4 linked regions of the Schizosaccharomyces pombe genome follow. The gene in region 1 interacts genetically with each later gene. Each region holds a gene or a part of one and is shown in the gene's direction. Other genes may lie near its edges.

Region 1 (4,020 bases):
GATGACATTACGCTTTTATTCATGAAATTACTCATGAGAAGTCATTTCCCGTATCAGGATATTGACTTAAAAACTCCGTATGATTGGTCTTTAGCCAATGCTTTAAAAATAAAATATTGTGGCCTAAGTGAAGCAACCTATAATGTTCAATTGAATAGCTTCTTTTCGCGAACACCTGATAAAGGGACTAGAAAATTTACATTTAAAAGCCTTGACGAAACAATGCTTGCACCTCTTGGATTCTTTCGCCCTGACATTTTTGAAAATGAAAATAAACTTCATGATCGGTATACTTTGTTTCCAGTGCCGGTCGATGTATATGACAACCAACCGAATAATCCCGAATCACTTGCCCAAACCACTTTATTGCAAATATCTACGCCGATATCCAACATCAAAGCTAATGGAAAAGATGATGAAGAGAAAAAAGAAGAAAGTGATTTGGTGACACCTTCGGTAAAATTCAAGCCTCCACGGGTAGTATATTGTGGCTCACTTGCTGCTCCAGAAATAAAGAATGAGAAACTGATATATCCTTTGGATGATGCAATCAACCAGAGTATATTTAGTGCATGTGATGGAAATTTAAGTGATGAGAAGGCAAAAAATCTTTACTCAAGCATTTTGATCGTCGGTGGAGCTGGTCAGTTCCCGGGCTTTGCTCATTTACTGGAAGAGCGTATCCATTCCAAGCGTGCCAACATCCCTACTATTTCGGTAATTCCTCCACCAAGAAGTATGGATGCTCAATTTGTTGCCTGGAAGGGTGCTTGTATATACAATCGCATTCGGATCGTATCGGAGCTGTGGATAAAAAACAGCGATTGGAAAATGTTAGGTAGCCGTGTCTTGCAATACAAGACATTGGGTTATTTTTGGACTGGCTAAACCATATGTTTATGCTTTCATATTCGTTACTAATTTTTTAATGCAACACCATATGTTTTTGCTATTTTTCATTATTTTTAGATGTTAATAAACCATGGTCTACAAAAACAGTACAGATGCCTCTAAGTTCATGTTTTTTGAAATTTTGAAGATACTTCATCAACTACTCATTCTTTTTGATATTTGAGTGCTCAAATAAGTTGAATTTATCATAATTTCCCTAAGTACGTATTTCTTTAAACGTACCATTTTGTATTTAAGTAATCTTTACATTCCAAAAATTGTAGTATCATTGTAAAAAAATTGAAAAAATAAACTCCCAAGGCGAGACTCGAACTCGCAACCTTCTGATTACCATCATAAGAGTCAGACGCTCTAAACCGATTGAGCCACTCGGGACTTCGTTGACGACTTAAGTTATTCAGTGTAATATGTAGTGCAAAAAGAATCCTCATAAGAATATATATTTTGTTGTTTGACGATGATTGCCTACGAAATTTAAAAGGTGGAATTGTTTTCTAGTTAAGATTGTTTATCAATCTTGAGAGACTCAGCATTGCTTTAGAAAACAAATCAGCATGCCAACCGTAACAGCCAAATATCTTGTTACTCGCAGCATTACTTAAAATGTTAATTTTATTTCTAACGGTAATATTTGTTCAATATTTTCGTATTTCGCATTAAGTAAATCACTAGGAAATTGAGATGCTTTTGAAATAATGATTATTACTGATAGTGATCTAAGCAAAATTAGGCGTCGTTAATCAACTTTTAGACAACGATTAATACAGTACTTCTATGCAATATTTTAATAAACGAACTCTATGTGATGCTAGCCATTCTGTACACCATGAAAAGCAAGCCAAACATGTCTCGCTAAACGAGCAAACAACCTGTAAAGACCAACGCGAAATTGATGTTTAGTACTTTTTAAAATATTCTGAAATCTCGTTTATTTTCATATTAAGACAAGTGAAAAATGAAGAAAGGAGGTGTTCGATCTTATCGGCGCTCCTCTACTTCAAAACGATCAGTTATTGACGACGATTCGGAACCAGAGTTACCAAGCATGACAAAGGAGGCTATTGCTTCTCATAAAGCAGACTCTGGGTCGTCGGACAATGAAGTTGAAAGCGATCATGAAAGTAAATCTTCGTCGAAGAAATTGAAAGAAAATGCCAAAGAAGAAGAAGGAGGAGAAGAAGAAGAAGAGGATGAATATGTTGTAGAAAAGGTTTTAAAACACCGTATGGCGAGAAAAGGTGGAGGCTATGAATACCTTTTGAAATGGGAAGGTTATGACGATCCCAGTGATAATACATGGAGTTCAGAAGCCGATTGTAGCGGTTGCAAACAGTTGATAGAAGCATATTGGAATGAACATGGAGGAAGACCAGAACCTTCTAAAAGAAAGAGGACTGCAAGACCTAAAAAGCCCGAAGCAAAGGAGCCTTCACCAAAGTCTCGTAAAACTGATGAAGATAAACACGACAAAGATTCCAATGAAAAGATTGAAGATGTGAATGAGAAAACTATTAAATTCGCCGATAAATCGCAAGAGGAATTTAATGAGAACGGCCCACCTTCTGGTCAGCCGAATGGTCACATTGAATCTGACAATGAGTCTAAATCTCCTTCACAAAAAGAATCGAATGAAAGTGAGGATATTCAAATAGCAGAGACCCCTAGCAATGTTACTCCGAAAAAGAAGCCTAGTCCGGAAGTTCCCAAACTTCCGGACAACAGAGAGCTGACGGTTAAACAAGTAGAAAACTATGATTCTTGGGAAGACTTGGTATCTAGCATCGATACAATTGAACGAAAAGATGATGGAACCTTGGAAATTTATCTGACTTGGAAGAACGGTGCAATATCTCATCATCCTAGTACTATCACCAATAAAAAATGTCCTCAGAAGATGCTTCAATTTTATGAAAGCCACTTAACGTTCCGTGAAAATGAATAATTTTTTTGTGTTCCTTTAAAAAATTCTTTTTCTTTTGTTTATAAATTAGATTTCGCTTTTTTCTGACGTTATTGCTTTTATCAAGTCCCGTGTCGTAGTATGAGTTCTTGTTCTCTTACTCGAAAAATGCATCTAACATTATACTTATACAAATTTTTGTTAGGCGCTTAACATCACATTCTAGTTTATGAACGCCTTTGTTTTCTTTCACATTGAATTGATTACGAGTGACTTGAGAAATGTAAAATACCTTTTGTCGTTATGGTTTGACATTCTAAATAACCTAAGGTTTGACATTCTAGATAACCTAATTTCTTTAATTTTACCATTTATTAATTTAGCATGCACTGCTCTTCATGCATTCAAAATCGTGTCTAATAATAACGTAATTTTACTCGTTAAATAAAGAATTTATGCATGCAAAATCGTTACTCATAAACCTCAGCAGATAAATTTGTTAACAAAAATGAGGGTGCATGAATATCTGCCTTCTCCGTTTCTTCTGTTCCATATGCTTCTAAGTTTGGGTTACCAACTGAACTCAAAGATAGGGTCAAGATGTAGTGTATCAAGTTTGAATCTTTATCAAGTACTATGTTGCCTCTTGAGAAATTCGTTTGAGAATAGCTGTATAGCTAAAGATAAATAAGGGTTTGAATGTAATTGTTGCTATGTAAACACAGTTGTAATTATAGATTTTTAATTGTTGCTGCTTTTGTACATTAGCAAAAAAAAATACAAGCAAGTTATGATGAAGAAGTCTGGTTATGCTATTTTTCTAAGAAGCTGGGATAAATTCATATTTTGTTCCTCTTTTTTTTTTTTTTTAAATATGTTTATGTCAGATTGGCAGATTTACCATATAAACACATAATGGCAAATTATGGCAAACTTTGCAAATGAACATGTATTTATCGAATTTCCTTGTTATCTTTTTTTATTGCTAGCAACACATGAAGACATCAGTCCCCTCTCGGCAATACATATTATCGATTGACACTACTGTATGCTGAGACTGAACAACAGAGTTCTCACTTGGACTTTTTGCTTGCTCCTCAAAGACTTTTAAAAAATTAAATAATAACTATTATATTTCTAACTGTTTTTAATCTAATTATTAGTCACAAGTTGCGCTTTTGTTATATATATGACTTCTATTCAAATTG
Region 2 (3,133 bases), on another chromosome or scaffold:
AGAAAAACAGCTTTCAATTTCCCTGTAGTATACTACCTTCATACATTGATCTCTTCATTTCTCTTATGTCGTTTAAAAATTTAAATTTCAAGTTATTTGATTACAACCTTGCACATCATGTGAAGGAATCAATGGAGCGTGCTTTTCATCAACTAGTATTTTCGGCGGACGATGAGTATTTAGCGAGCGTTTATTTAATTTATTTAAAGCAAATGGAGACGAAGAACCTAAGTGAGGAGAAACCCCAAGTGAAGTAAGTAGATGTTTTTGTTTCCTTCTAACCAAATTCAGTAAAATTGTAAAGAAGATTCTCAAAAAATACGATAGTTCAGTGTCTGTTTGGAACACTTACGCTCAATTGGAACACTTAAGTGGTGCTTTTACTATGGCTGAAACAATTTTTAAAACAATTTTTCAGATCCATGCTTCCCAATTGCGCTACATTGATAATTTAAATGTATACAAAAACTGGGCTTTTAGAAAGCTACTTATTAATGATACTGAAGGATGCTTAGTTATTATAAAATGCCTGTTGTTTCCTGGTGATAAATCTTTAACTAGCGATAATAATCGAGCATCCGAAATGCTATTTGGTATGTTGGAAAATTGCGCCAGCAAGGAAGAATTGCTGTATGTTTGTCTTATCTATACTATATGGACACACTGTACTGATATGGATTCAATGGATAATTGTGTGTATTTATGCATTCAAAAATTCGAAAGCTATGGATGGGGGGCTTCTTCAGAAATGGAATGCTATTTTTCTTATTGTTCATTGATTTTTTATTATCAAGCTACCACTCTTCAATTCTATAATCTACCCAAGGTTCGACCTTTTTTTGAAAAGGGAGTTACACTTTTCAGTGCAAATACGGCTATATGGGAAGTTTATATATTTTTTGAATCTAAGTTGAGACAAGAGAACAAACCAAAAATTAGGGCTATGAAAATTTTAAAATCTGCTTCAAATGCTGTTGTTACAGCTTGTTGGTACCTTTTTTATGTTGCCGTTCAACAGATTGAGCCAACAAACTCACAGTACTTTTTAAGGACTTTGGATATCACTCTAAATAATGAAAAGTTGAAATCCGTCGCCAAGTTTTGGAGAATATATTTAAAGATTCTCAATTTGCGATTAAATGGTACTGAATGGGTTTCGGCGATTACCACCAAAGCATTGGCTTCCTGCCCCTGTAATAAAGGTAAGTTAATTAAAAACATAGAACATTTCACTGACTAAGTTTAGGGGTTTGTATGGACGTTATAGACTTGCTCTTGAAAAAAGAGATGGAGAGTCGGGCTATTATTTGCTATATAATCATGTTGGAAAAAGGCTTTAGAGTCCATAACGAAATAAGGAGAGATGTTTTAAAGTTTGAAAGAGGAGATGAACTTATTTTGTCCCCAAACTGACATTATTACGATCAATGACTTTTAATGATAGAGATAGTGAAATGAGTTTAAAATGACAGATTAGTTACTTTCAAGTTTGCGTAAATGCTTTAGTAGTCTTATTATTAAAGTTTTCACTTTTGTTTGTTAAATGCTTATATGGTTGCTTTTACGTTGAAAGGGTACCTCTAAGCAACCATCATGGCAGTACCTACTCAATTACTACACAACCTATTGCTTATTACAAAAATCTACAACACAACATGTCTAGCGTTCCCATAAGAACGAATTTTTCACTGAAAGGTTCTTCCAAACTTGTTAGCGAATTTTTTGGTTTGTAAATGTTTCAAATATGCCATGCTAACTTAATGAAGAATATGCGGTGAACTCAATCCTTTTTCAACGAGGAATTTACCCAGCAGAAGACTTCAAAGTTGTTCGGAAATATGGATTAAATATGCTTGTCAGTGTAGATGAAGAGGTCAAGACTTACATTCGAAAAATTGTATCTCAGTTACACAGTGAGTTGTTGTTCTATTATCACTTTTGGAATTAACAAATTTTTAGAATGGATGTTTGCAAAAAAAATTCAAAAACTGATTTTGGTAATTACTAGTAAATGTTCAGGTGAAGATTTAGAGCGGTGGCAGTTTAATGTGGAGATGGTTGACACAGCTGATCAATTTCAGAACATTGGCAACAAAGAAGATGAACTGCGAGTACAAAAAGAAATTCAAGCTCTAATTCGTCAAATCACTGCTACAGTGACCTTTTTGCCTCAACTAGAAGAACAGTGTACGTTTAACGTTTTGGTATACGCTGATAAAGACAGCGAAGTTCCAACAGATTGGGTAGACAGTGACCCTAGGATTTTAAGAGATGCTGAACAAGTTCAATTACGAAGTTTTAGTACGAGTATGCACAAAATTGATTGTCAAGTTGCATATCGAGTGAATCCTTAGTTGTTTTTTTTGGCATGATCCTTACCTATTAGATGAGATAATAGAAAACAAAGCTTTGATGTGTTCTATAAATCTCAAAATTCCGGCCATATTGTTTAACTATAATTCGGTGAATCCTATGTTTGTTTTAATGTCCAATATTTATAATTTTGTGACGCATCTCTATTCTATCCATTTATTTAATAATACTTTTGCATTCTTTAAAATATAATCATCTTCTCTTATTCATTAAACAAAATACACTATAGCAACAGCTCGCAATGATGTTTTCATTGAAACTTTGCGGCAGTAAATCAACATTTTAAACTGATGGTAGCATTTGCGAGGTAAGATTCTATATGCCAAGGTAACGACATTCATCTCTTGAGGTAGGTTTCTGACTACAAAATGAACACAGTAGCAAATAATTTAACAGAATTGAACAATGTGTATATCATTTTAAATATCAAAGTTAGAAATTCTAATTTAGTCAAGACGTGTTCCTCAATTTTTTTAAGACTGTTGAGAAGCTGGAATATTATTGTTAACGGAGTTTTCCGTATTTAATAACATTATCACTAATAAACATTAACTCGCGTTATCTATTAATAACGATTCAGTATGTATGACATCTATTCATCAGTTACTTAGCCTTTACTAGTACTGAGTGTGAATCATCGTTTCCTCAGAGAATACCAAGACTTGGACGGTTCCTCTTTTCTCTTTGCTTCTTGAATTTTGGGGCTATCTAGTTTTTTTTTGAAATTTCTTAAAGATTTATTCTTAAAAGCTTGAGGATT
Region 3 (5,648 bases), on another chromosome or scaffold:
GAAAGGCTACAAACAATCGTAAGCAAGAAGCTTCTCTGAAGTTAAGAGAATACGCCTATACTTACACCATCATGTCGAAAAGCACATCCATTTTCTGAATGCTTACAGGATCCATAAAGTAAGATATTTCTACATAATGTTCGTTTAGCTTTGGAATGGTCTATTAAAAATGGTGGTCAGTCAAGTTTTGCTTTGAATTTCCATTTACCTTTCAAATCAGTCACTGACGGAGACCTGGAACTCTCCCTAGAACGGGAAGTTGGCTTTGGGCTTGCAGGAGAATTCTTCCTCACACTCATCCTGTCAATTTCCAGGCAATCCCAAGCTAACAGTCTGAGATTATAGCAATTTAGTTACAGGTCGTGGAATCAGTAAGTCCCGGACAATACTAATAATGCAGCACAACGAAGTTTACTGTAATACTTTGCAACGCTACATTTTGTTTATATAACAATTTCATAGTAGTAATATTTAAGCATTTGAGAAGACAGTAATTCTAATTTATTTTTTATCTGTTCTTTACATGTAACGGGCAGTAACTATTTCGAAAACTTTAACAATAGCAAGTGTTATGTAGCAGTTGAACATGTCTTCGTAATGCTGCTATCTTTCTGCGATCACTGTAATTTAATTGCAAATCATAAAACCAAAGTAACTGAATTTTTTTTATCTTAACTTCTTCCTTAGTGCCAACTTTTGCGAATTGTTTCAAATGCAAAGCTATGTTTTTCAAGCAATTCGGCCTCCCATATATAGCCATTGCAAGTAAGAAAACTTAGTTCGCAGTTATAAATTCCCTATAGAAACTAACAGCTTGCCAAATTCACACTCCCCTGTTTTGCTATAAAATGCAATAAAAAATTACTGAAAGGGGTGGGACTCGAACCCACGAGCTTTCGCACTAGTGCCTTAAACTAGCTCCATAACCACTCGGACACCCTTCCTTTTTTGATCTGTCAGACAAAAAAGTATATATTATTTATTTAATTAATTAAAGAAATTTTAGGAATTCAGAAAAATATTTAAATTGCTAAAAAGAATAATAACAGACTGTCAATTATAAAAGCATATTTATTACCCTATTCTCTTTACATTGTCCTCTAAAACAGAGTAAGGAATGAAAAGTCTAATTGAGTTAAAATAGCTCAAAATGAAAAGAGAACGGTGAATTTTGTATTGAATAAGCTTTTAATTTTTTGAGAATGGTTACCCATGTTTTAATACATTCTTGAAAACTTAAAGACAAGTGTATGATATTTGGCATTTATCTCTGTCTGATTGGAAAAATTATTTTTAAAAGCTATGGCAAGTATGTGAACAAAAAATGGAGAAAATGCGTGAATATTGTAGATCGAATCATTAAAAAAATCCAATAAATGACAAGCGTATAAAGCATGACAAATTGCTTGTAGCCGTTCAATAGAAACTTTTATGTCTGTGCCGCTTGCTATATACTAAACATAAACAAATGGTGAAAGATATTTGAACACAAACTAGTTAACTCTGTCTGCTGATCAAACGAACGATAGGTTGCATGCATTGGGTTGCTTATTCCACTCAATAATTACTGCAATAAAATCAGCATCGGCATCTCGAAAAAATGTATGGCTTAAAGTGTTACTTCGTTAAAAACCTCTTCGTCGTTAACCGATGTCTATATTCCTAACAATTGTTTATAACATCGGAACTTGATATTTACATTTAAATCTTGAAAACAATAAACCTTTTGATCATTTGTAAATTGGGAAAGCATAATTGTTTATAAATTTAGTTGGAAGCTTAGGTATACAACTACTGTTGTATATTGTTGACATTTGATTGCTTCCACCACCGACCACTCTCCAGCAACTAGCTCATTCTTTATATGTAACCAAACAGGATGGGCTCTAATGGGTCAGAACTATGGTTTAATAAGGAGTTGGAATACTCCCAACAACTCACTAATGGAAAAATGAAAGAATTCTTCTTCCTTGTATCTGAAACCATGGACTGGTTGAATGAACACATGCTTGAAGTTTCCAAGTTACAGCTAGAGTCGTACGCATTTGTTGTTTATCATATGTGCTAATTAGATGGTTAGGGATATATATGAATTAGTGAGAACACCTACCAAGATAAAGGAGAAGTACTCCACTCCTCGTTTAAGTCCTGTACATCGATGTGCGTTACCAACGCCTCGCATGCGGTTAACATCTATTCAACATCAGCTTGAGGAAGCTGCTGTTGAAGGATATAAGTCGGGTGAATCCAATACAGTCAAGGAACCTAAAGAATTACATACTGCTACTAATACAGAAACCCAATTTGATGATGATAGGGATTCTACTAAGCTATCTTCTGAATATGTCAAAGATGATATAGTTAATAAATCTACTAAAGGTGGTGTATCTCCTATTAAAGAAACGAGATTGCCGACTAATTTGCCAGCTTTTAGTCCTACTTCAGTAGAGCGTCGTTTTACTGAATGGAACGTTCCTCTTCGTGAAACTTCGCCTTCCCCATCAGAAACTGCTGACAGTCCTAATAAATTACCAAAGCAAAAGCACCCCGCTTATTCTTTTGTCACTTTACCTAAACGTGAAGAGATTTTGAAAAGACCTGCATCATTACACAGTCGTGTGGAATCAACTAATTCATTTATAAATCAGTTAAATCGCCGGCGTACTAAAGACAACTTAACGAATAATCCTGAAATTTCATTAGATGAACCTATCAAGGCACTACCTTCAACTACTTCTGATGCTCCTTCTTCTTTGTTAAATACCAATGTGTCCTCTAGTCCTTCTAAATTTCGAAAATTCCTTTCATCAGTCATCCCCGCCAAGACAGATTTATCAGCCAAGGAATCGCTCACGTCGTCTACTAGGTTATCGACTTCTTACAAAACTCGTAAAAGAAGTTCAGGAGTCGCCTTCTCTTCTGAAACTGTTACTTCTTCTTCCAAGGAAAGAAAAAGGTCTGTCGAAAATGAAATGCTTAAACCTCATCCAACTATTTTTGAATCCCCTCCCGAAATTACTTCCTTCGATAAATCCAACGCAGTAGAAGCTGAGGCATTAACGGCCAAATTAAAATCCAATGAAGAGAGACTACCTGTATCTTCTCAACCTGGAAGTGATGCCAAAAGTCAAGAGTTTGACTTTTTTGAAGCCAAAATTCCCGATTCTATTGCTAAATTGAACGAGCTAACTGCCTCCAATGAAAACCACTATGAACTGAAAACTTATGATCGTGCCGAACGATTAAGGCAGAAAATACAAGAAGTAAGTTCTAATAAAAGATTAATTCCTTCGACTCCGCCCACGAAGAAACCGATTAATGCAGTTTTAGATGCTGCTAAAAACTCTGCAGCTAAGGATTTGCACCTTGCTAAAATGAAGCTGAATAATAAAAACGACGAGTCTTCCTTAAGCCCTGCAAAAAGTCATGCTGTAATCACTCAAGCGCCTAAGATCCCCCTGATAAGCACATTCACAAGGCTTTCAACCAGAAAGTCGTCAAATGATTTTAATTCTTCAAATTCTAGACCAAGCTCAAACGCTTTGAAATCGGATGCAAACGAAAATACGGACTCTTCTTTGCCGCCTTCCAAGAAGGAATTTATTGAAAAATCTCTGCACAAGTTATCTGAACCATTGCATGATGATTCTCGTCAAAATTCTGATCACAACTTTGCTCCGCATTCACGTCCGATTGCAATTCGTGTGGCCACAGCCTCTCAACGCGAACTTGAGCAAACTGAAAAGCGAAAAGCAAAAAATGGAGCAGCAAATGCTTCAAATATGGAAAGCCGCTCTTCTGAAAACGAAACTCATCGCTTCAAAAAGTTCTATGGTAAAGAACGAGAGTTATCAAACAACGAATTTCCAAGTCGTCAGACCAAAACTGTCACATCAGCCAATTCATCTAACATTAGGGATATGGAACATACTATTTCCGATAAACCTCGTTCTGAACCAGATGCTATACCATCAAGTAAAAGCATGCACTCAAATAAGCCATTTGAGGAAAAATCAGAAAAACCAACGACCAAAAGACTTGTTACTAACCCATCAAATGTGAATGCTTCATGGCATTCAAATATGTTAAAAAGACAAGAAGATTTACGAAAGAAGAAACCGTTAACCGACAACGGTGCAACTTCAAGGCATATGCTAAAATCTGGGTTAACACGCGTCACGTCGAAACCCACTCAAAGGTTTGCGAATGAGCTAGCTGAGGACATGTCATTGGCATTTCATTCAACTATTCCAAAAAAAATGGAGCCTGACTCAGTTACTTCTGTAACTCAGCCTTCTGTTGGTAGTTTGAGAAACAACTTCGATATAGGGACCACTAATAGTCAGAATGAAGATCGAAAAAAGAAGATAGCTGCACAAAAAAATAAGAATCCCGTACATGGTAATGTCGGTCTTACGAATCAACATGGATTCAAAACAATGCATCACAACGTCAACCCTTTTACTAAGCAGAATGGTATTATGAAAGGAAAGCTTCCATCTTCTAGTACTTCACAATCAAATAAACCTTTTATTGAAAAAGCTTCTATGCACGCTCCAGCTAAAGGTAGGAACTCGTCTATGCAGGAGCCCTCTTCTAAATCACCGTTACTGAAAACGCCTAAGTCGAATTATTTTCCTGGATATGGATCCCTATCGCCTAACACGTCTGTGGAATTACCAGAAATAAATAGCGATTATTCGGATGATTCAGATGATGAAGGTAATAAGAAAAAGGTAAATTTACCATCGTGGGCTGAATCACCTGAGTTACGAGAGCAATTAAAACGACAACAAAAGTGGGATCCAGACAAAATTTTCGGTATGATTAAACCTCTGCAAATGGATGAGTATTTCCGATCGAAGGATCGATCGAAGATTCGATTTCGACCAAGAAGCTCTTCTGCTGACTGGTCATCTCAAGATCGTTTGACCCAAGCAGAAATTGATAACTATAAGAAAAACATGGGTTTTTTATAGAGTTCTGGATTTTTGAAATGAATTTTGTATATTAAAGAACTGGGAAATTAATAGAGAAATACTTTAATTTATCTTATGAAACAATTTGCATAGAGTTAGATGACAAAATTAAATTAGATTAAAGGTTTTTGAATCTACTAATAACAATTATAATGAAATAGACCTCCATCTTAGACATTGAAGCATCGCTGATAATTAGTTTTTGTGCCGCAATAACATTAGCCATTAACAAACGTAGTTTGACATTGCCAGAAACTTAATCTACTTGTTCAAAGTTTTAATTTCTTTGAACGAAAAGAAACTGTGAAAGTACTTCTATCATCAATAGTTTAGCACAGTTTACATTGCTAGTTTTGGTTACACTAGACATTTACGTTCCACCATTTTAATAAAACTAGTGTAAAGCTTTTTTACCGTCTGGTTGGTTACTTTAAAAAAAAGAATTATTCTATTAAATGTGTGAACTAACGTAACCCGCACCTGAATAAATCATCCTAACGAAACATTAAGTCTATGGAAGAATATGAAGATTTTGAGATGGAAGATTTGAGCGAATTAGTCTCTTATATGGACTATCTTGAAACACAAAGATTGACTATTAGCCAATTGGATTATTCTTTGAGCATTCCACCACAATTGCTCGTAAGCAGGGAAATTTCTAAACTAGAG
Region 4 (6,198 bases), 3.7 Mb from region 1:
CGAGGACTTAGCTTGTGGTACACGTTGAACCTTGCCCCATACAGGGACAATATCAGCTTCTATGTTCTTTTTCCTGTAATACTCAGTAGCCTTCTTTAGAAAAATTTCTTGATCCTCTGGGCTTATGACAATCGACGAAGAACGATGAACAACAGCAGCTTCATCAATCTTAGTTTCCACTGTATGGTCATTTCCTTCCGAAATTTGTACAGGTCCAGGAGAAGCTACGTACACGGCGTCCCAGGGTGAACTAGGATCTCCCAATGAAGCAATTGCTGAGTAAAGGGCAGTGCCACTACTACGATGCTGAAACGTCCATTCGCGAGTATCTTTATTTAAGGCTGCTTTAAATTGAAAATTTCGAGAGACATTAACAATACGTTTATAAGCAGCTGATTGAGTATTTCCTTGCGCGCCTGAAGGCATTTCTAGAGCACTTAACTTCACCGAGGAGAAGTGACGAGAAATATAGAGAATAAAACCAATGAATCACTACAATAAGCTAGCAAAAAACTTTAAATCAATGTCGTTTGCGCTTGTTTAAGCAGATGATTAAACGTATAGAAAGTAGGAGACCGTACTATAAGCTCAATATTACATTGGACAGTGTACCCTAAATGACGGAAAATTCAAATGACCGAGAGAGGTAGTAAGACACCGAATTCACCGATATGAAAATGGAAATTCCCTGCGAATAACGAATATATGATGAATGAACCTTTTTACTAATGAATTATGAATAACTGATAAATGAGATGGTGTTCGTCATTGCCCAAGCTTTTGAAATGATGTGAAGACGCTAACACTGAGATGGTAGAACAAATCTGCGACTATGGCGCTGAAAATTCATTTCCATTAAAAGATTGGGGAGCTGAATACGTATCATTATTTCCATTTTTCCTTGTAGGCTTTGGACATGCCTGATAAGCATCGTTTAATGCAGGTAGAAGTGTATTTAAATTTTTACAAAAAGAGTTAATTGCATCACTAGCTTCTAACAAATGCTTATAATGATTATATACCAAAGATCTATGGTCGACAGAAAGCCCTTGAATCGAAGCAACCAAAGATTTATCACGCTGCAATAATTCGGCTGGTGTGGCTTTCTCCATAAATTTAGAAACGTAAGCATTTGAATCGAAATTTGGATCTGAGAACTCTGGATCAACTTTATCTAATGCTGTTTCTTCCACTGGCGAAACGGTATTAGAGCTAGACGGTTTTCGAGTTGTAGAAACAGTTGAAGATGAGCTATTTGAACCAGGTAGATTATAAAAGTCTCTTAAAGCTTGACGGCGTTTACTTGACATATTGTACAATTTACTTAACGACAGTGCTTAATAAATAATGAAATAAATGTATCTACAAGGCCAGCAACGAACAAAATACTGTTGCCGACAGAAAATGCTCTAGTGATAGAAATGAGTGAATAACGTACTCCTGTACATCTTTATATCATATATCGATGCTTCGAATATTTCTTTAAAACATTCTATTGCTTTGTTTCATATTGATAGTTTGATTAAAAAGTTTCGATACTTTTATTGCTGATCTGGTAGCAAAATCTCAACGCATTTTAAAAATGCATTTTCGCGGTATTGCGATTCTTTGGTAGATGACAAAAACAAGACTAACGATTGCACGCGTTAGAAAATTACATAACCATACTTCAGCTTCTTTTTCCATAGTTATTTCCATTAGTTATGATAATATTCGATAATACAGAGAGCGTCAAGCATATATATATTATTTAACCTTTGAGCGTTTGCTGTTCTTCTAAACTGAATTGTAGGCTTAGTGTTGAAAGAGAATTTAGCACTTTTAACAAAATCTCATTCTTTCTGTTAAACTAGAAATGCATATTTAATTTTCTTAAATTTAGTTTCCTCCCCTTAAAAGTAGTTGAATATTTGATTTAAATTTGCAAATATATTTTAACTTCAGTATACACTGAAACAGTTTTTTAACATACAGTAAACTTGCCTAACCTCGTGCAAAGCGGTTTCTTCTGTTCATTTTAACATTTTGTTGAAAAGTCTTCTTGTTATATAAATAGACAGTTTGACGGATGGAGTTTATGCAACAGTACTTCCTTCTTCAGAAACCAGCTTGCATATGATTTGGTAAATTCAATTAGTATCATCGCTACTCTCTTTTGTTGTACTGAAAAATCTAAGCTCAAACATACGCTTTCCCGTGTTTATAAGGTGTTATTTTATGCTTTATTAACTATTTTACAAGGGAACCTTACATTTGGCTCTGTAATGTGCAATTACTGTTATCAAAACTCGAAATAGTATACGAAAGATTTCCAGGTTTCTGAAAAGGTTGTTTTACCTTTAAAATGTGTCATTCGAAAGAAGTAAAATTTAAAACCAATTTTCATCACCCGTATACCCCATACGATATCCAACTAGAGTTCATGCGCAGTTTGTACTCTTCCATCAGCGATGGAAAGATTGGGATTTTTGAATCACCAACTGGAACGGGAAAAAGTTTGAGTTTAATCTGTGCTTCACTTACTTGGCTAGACGAACATGGAGGTGTTTTACTTGAGGATAATGAAAAATCTAATGACAATAAATCTAACACATCCTCAAAAATTCCAGATTGGGTTCTAGAGCAAGACTTGAAAATACAAAAGGATCTAGTAAAAGAAACACATGCACGGCTTGAACAGCGCCTTGAAGAAATTCGAAAGAGGAACCAAAGTCGCAAAAATCAAATGAGCAATAATTCAACTACATACCACAGGGAAACAAAAAGGAGGAACATAAACGCAGAAGCCTCAACCTCAGACAATTGTAATAATTCTAATACTTCGGTTGATCCGATGGACGAATATCTAGTTACAGCAGAATATACGATGCCATCGACTTCTGAACAATCTGAAGATTTATTTAATAACGGTTACAGTTCCAAAGTCTCTGAACTATTGCGAAAATTAAGTCCCGATAATGAAAAACCACCTATAGTTCAAAAGGTACGAATTTAGGTGCTTATAAGGAATATTCATTTAGTGGTAATATTTTTCTAACCTACTGCTAGATATATTTTACTTCTCGAACCCACTCTCAATTGCAACAGCTTGTTCAGGAAATTAAAAAGCTCAATAATCAAACCTTCTCAACGCCAATACGAGTAGTTTCTTTGGCTTCTCGTAAGAATCTTTGTATTAATAATGAAGTCCGGAAACTTCGACCAACGTCTGCTTTAAATGAAAAATGCATTGAGCTTCAAGGTACTTTAACAACTTCACTAGATTGAAAATTCAGTTTAATATTAACTTTTACATTTTAGGATCAGCTCACAAGTGTCCCTTTTTACAAGACAACACTCAATTATGGGACTTCCGGGATGAAGCACTTGCTGAAATAATGGATATTGAAGAACTCGTAGAATTGGGCCAGCGTTTAAAGGTCTGCCCTTATTACGGAACGAGGGAAGCAGTGGATTCAGCTCAAATTGTGACCCTACCTTATCCTTTATTGCTACAAGAATCAGCACGAAATGCGCTTAATTTGACTCTTAAAGACAATATATGTATAATTGACGAAGCTCATAACTTGATTGATGCAATCTGTTCCATGCATTCTTCTTCCATCTCGTTTAGACAAGTTTGTATTGCTGAAACTCAATTGCAACAATATTTTCTGCGGTTTGAAAAACGTCTGAATGGTAATAATAGAATGCATATAAAGCAATTGATCAAAGTTGTCTATAACCTAAAATCTTTTTTTTTAAATTGTCTAGAAACTAATACGAATTCAAAAGTGATCAATGTCGATTCTTTACTGGTATCAAATGGTGCGGATCAAATTAACTTGCACCATCTGTCTGAATACTTGAATGTTTCAAAACTAGCAAGAAAAGTCGATGGTTATACGAAATATATGCATTCATTGGGGACACAAGAATTGGAGTCTTTGAATGATCTTCGTAGTGAAAGATTTTCAAACGGCAATGGATATGAAGAGGATCCATACACACCGGTCCTAATGCAATTAGAATCTTTCTTACTGAATATCGCCAACCCTGCTCCTGAGGGGAAACTATTTTACGAAAAACAAACGGGGGACAATCCATATTTAAAATATTTGTTACTCGATCCATCCAAACATGTCGAGATATTGACCGAACAATGTCGTTCAGTGAATTTAGCTGGTGGCACCATGTCACCGATTGATGACTTTATAACCCTTTTATTTTCAGATGAACAATCTCGTATACTTCCATTTTCATGTGACCATATAGTTCCTCCTGAAAATATTACAACCATTCTAGTTTCTCAAGGTCCTGCAGGCGTCCCTTTTGAATTTACACATAAAAGAAAAGACGATGAGAATTTATTAAAAGATTTGGGAAGGACTTTTCAGAACTTCATTTCCATTATCCCAGATGGCGTCGTGGTTTTCTTTCCCAGTTTTGCATTTTTGCAGCAAGCTGTAAAAGTATGGGAAATGAATGGAATTACAAATCGTTTAAATGCAAAAAAACCATTATTTATTGAAAGTAAAGATTTTGGCGATAATCCTTTGGATACTTTTGAACACTATAAACAGTCCGTAGATGCAGGCTTGAGTGGAATGTTGTTTAGCGTGATAGGAGGAAGACTTTCAGAAGGAATCAACTTTTCAGATAAACTTGGCCGAGCCGTAATGGTGGTAGGAATGCCGTTCCCTAACTCGCAAGATGTGGAATGGCAAGCCAAGGTCTCATACGTAGAGGAAAAGGCCAAGGAGAAAGGCATAAATGCAAAACAAGCTTCACAGGAATTTTATGAAAATACCTGTATGCGAGCAGTAAATCAAAGTATAGGTCGAGCGATTCGACACCGAGATGATTATGCAAGTATAATTCTTTTGGATTCCAGATATAATCGATCAAGTATACAAAGGAAGTTACCAAACTGGTTAAGCAAAAACATCCATTCTAGCCCTAATTTCGGACCTGCTATACGGCAACTTGCTACTTTTTTCCGGGCTAAAAAGATGTGTGATTAGACATATGGTTTGCGTTACAGCGTCAACATAGGCTTATTTTAGAATTACGCTTCGCATATTGTAAATAGATTACTCTATAATTTTTAGAAAATACACCTCTCTCGTATTTACCGACTACTCAAATCATTACTCGTCAAAGGTATAAAAACAAGATCTATTTTGAACGTCAATTAAGACTGCACTAATGGTGTCGCAAATGAAGGTTGTTTAGGTAGAAAAAAACCAACTTGAGAAAAGTTACGACTTAGAGCAGGAAGAGGCCTCTGCCATGATATCCAAGCGTCACGCTAGGGACCGCTTAATTCAGTCCATCGAGCTGTAGATGATCCGTTTATTTACTAATTCAAAGTTAGAAGTCTGCAGGTCTGAGTAATATAATACAACACTTACGATCTAGCTCTCATCTTTCTTCTTTTACGTTTAAGGCGTCTCACGCGTTTCTTCCTCCACTTATCACGCATTGTGGTTATGGATGACTAGCAGACTAGGCAATATTTCATCTGTATAGCACATTGTGACTGCTCTTTTAAGAACACACAATACGGACGTAACACATTCAAAAGTACAGTCAAGTAACAGAATTACTCTAGTATGTCAAGGAACGAAATGTAAACATACAAAAAGTGGTTAATTACATATTTTATTTCAAATGATCCGTCAACGATAGTAAGTGATTTTTAAGTGCTTCCTTTTGCATATCTTTTTTGAAAGGTTCAGCTCTTCAAAATCAGATTTAATAATAATCCATTTAATGCTATATCATCCATTCATATTATCCTTTAATGACAACATACCTGATGTTGTTGTATACGACTTGCGATCTATTGTCAAACGCTGTGTAAACTTCAAGCATACTACATACTTTAGTTTGTAAACCGTATACAGAACAGGTATATCATAAACATTCTTTAAAGTCTAGTAAGTAGTCTACAGGGAAGGTGAAACGCATTTTTGTGCCATAGAATAGTATAAATTTATTCTTAGACATTGTAATTAGACTGCTATATAAGATACTGAAAGCATCCGGAACAAGTACTGTGTTTTTAAGTCGAACTGTTAAACTCCTTGACAATTTGAGCTACTTTAATCATCTATTAAAAACAAATTTTAAAATGCAACGTTAACCCTTTGGTACTAAAAGATACCATGTAAAAAATGTATAATCCAATAAATTTAAAGGATATGCTAGCAATGT

What was found.
Region 2: mutations in swi6 (region 1) and mad2 together harm fitness more than expected from each alone (negative genetic interaction), as found in Schizosaccharomyces pombe (3 studies listed by BioGRID, with this or other methods).
Region 3: mutations in swi6 (region 1) and pic1 are lethal when combined (synthetic lethality), as found in Schizosaccharomyces pombe (2 studies listed by BioGRID, with this or other methods).
Region 4: mutations in swi6 (region 1) and chl1 together harm fitness more than expected from each alone (negative genetic interaction), as found in Schizosaccharomyces pombe (3 studies listed by BioGRID, with this or other methods).

The regions. Positions count from the first base shown.
Region 1 is NC_003424.3:1,701,849-1,705,868, reverse strand, and holds swi6 (heterochromatin (HP1) family chromodomain protein Swi6), read left to right. Parts: upstream 1-1,770; 5' UTR 1,771-1,867; coding exon 1,868-2,854; 3' UTR 2,855-3,463; downstream 3,464-4,020. Other genes in the region: Ino80 complex actin-like protein Arp8, read left to right, coding at 1-888.
Region 2 is NC_003423.3:3,292,620-3,295,752, forward strand, and holds mad2 (mitotic spindle checkpoint protein Mad2), read left to right. Parts: upstream 1-1,655; coding exon 1,656-1,725; intron 1,726-1,766; coding exon 1,767-1,913; intron 1,914-1,959; coding exon 1,960-2,354; 3' UTR 2,355-2,576; downstream 2,577-3,133. Other genes in the region: nrl1 (NRDE-2 family protein), read left to right, coding at 1-253, 292-1,202, 1,247-1,413. UniProt on the Schizosaccharomyces pombe protein: Feedback control that prevents cells with incompletely assembled spindles from leaving mitosis. It interacts with the anaphase promoting complex/cyclosome (APC/C) thereby inhibiting APC/C-dependent proteolysis, a step required for exit from mitosis.
Region 3 is NC_003423.3:2,767,392-2,773,039, forward strand, and holds pic1 (INCENP-like protein Pic1), read left to right. Parts: upstream 1-1,816; 5' UTR 1,817-1,879; coding exon 1,880-2,037; exon of another isoform or gene 2,038-2,080; coding exon 2,081-4,979; 3' UTR 4,980-5,147; downstream 5,148-5,648. Other genes in the region: PAN complex subunit Ppk26, read right to left, coding at 1-6, 66-160, 209-299; single-strand DNA-specific 5'-3' exodeoxyribonuclease Exo5, read left to right, coding at 5,493-5,648. UniProt on the Schizosaccharomyces pombe protein: Component of the chromosomal passenger complex (CPC), a complex that acts as a key regulator of mitosis. Has a role in sister chromatid cohesion and condensation.
Region 4 is NC_003424.3:5,396,770-5,402,967, forward strand, and holds chl1 (ATP-dependent DNA helicase Chl1), read left to right. Parts: upstream 1-1,975; 5' UTR 1,976-2,344; coding exon 2,345-2,983; intron 2,984-3,048; coding exon 3,049-3,241; intron 3,242-3,300; coding exon 3,301-5,003; 3' UTR 5,004-5,334; coding exon of another isoform or gene 5,335-5,341; 3' UTR 5,342-5,393; coding exon of another isoform or gene 5,394-5,464; 3' UTR 5,465-5,641; downstream 5,642-6,198. Other genes in the region: trehalose-phosphate synthase Tps2, read right to left, coding at 1-426; GARP complex subunit Vps51, read right to left, coding at 831-1,310; rpl4101 (60S ribosomal protein L41), read right to left, coding at 5,335-5,341, 5,394-5,464. UniProt on the Schizosaccharomyces pombe protein: ATP-dependent DNA helicase important for chromosome transmission and normal cell cycle progression in G(2)/M.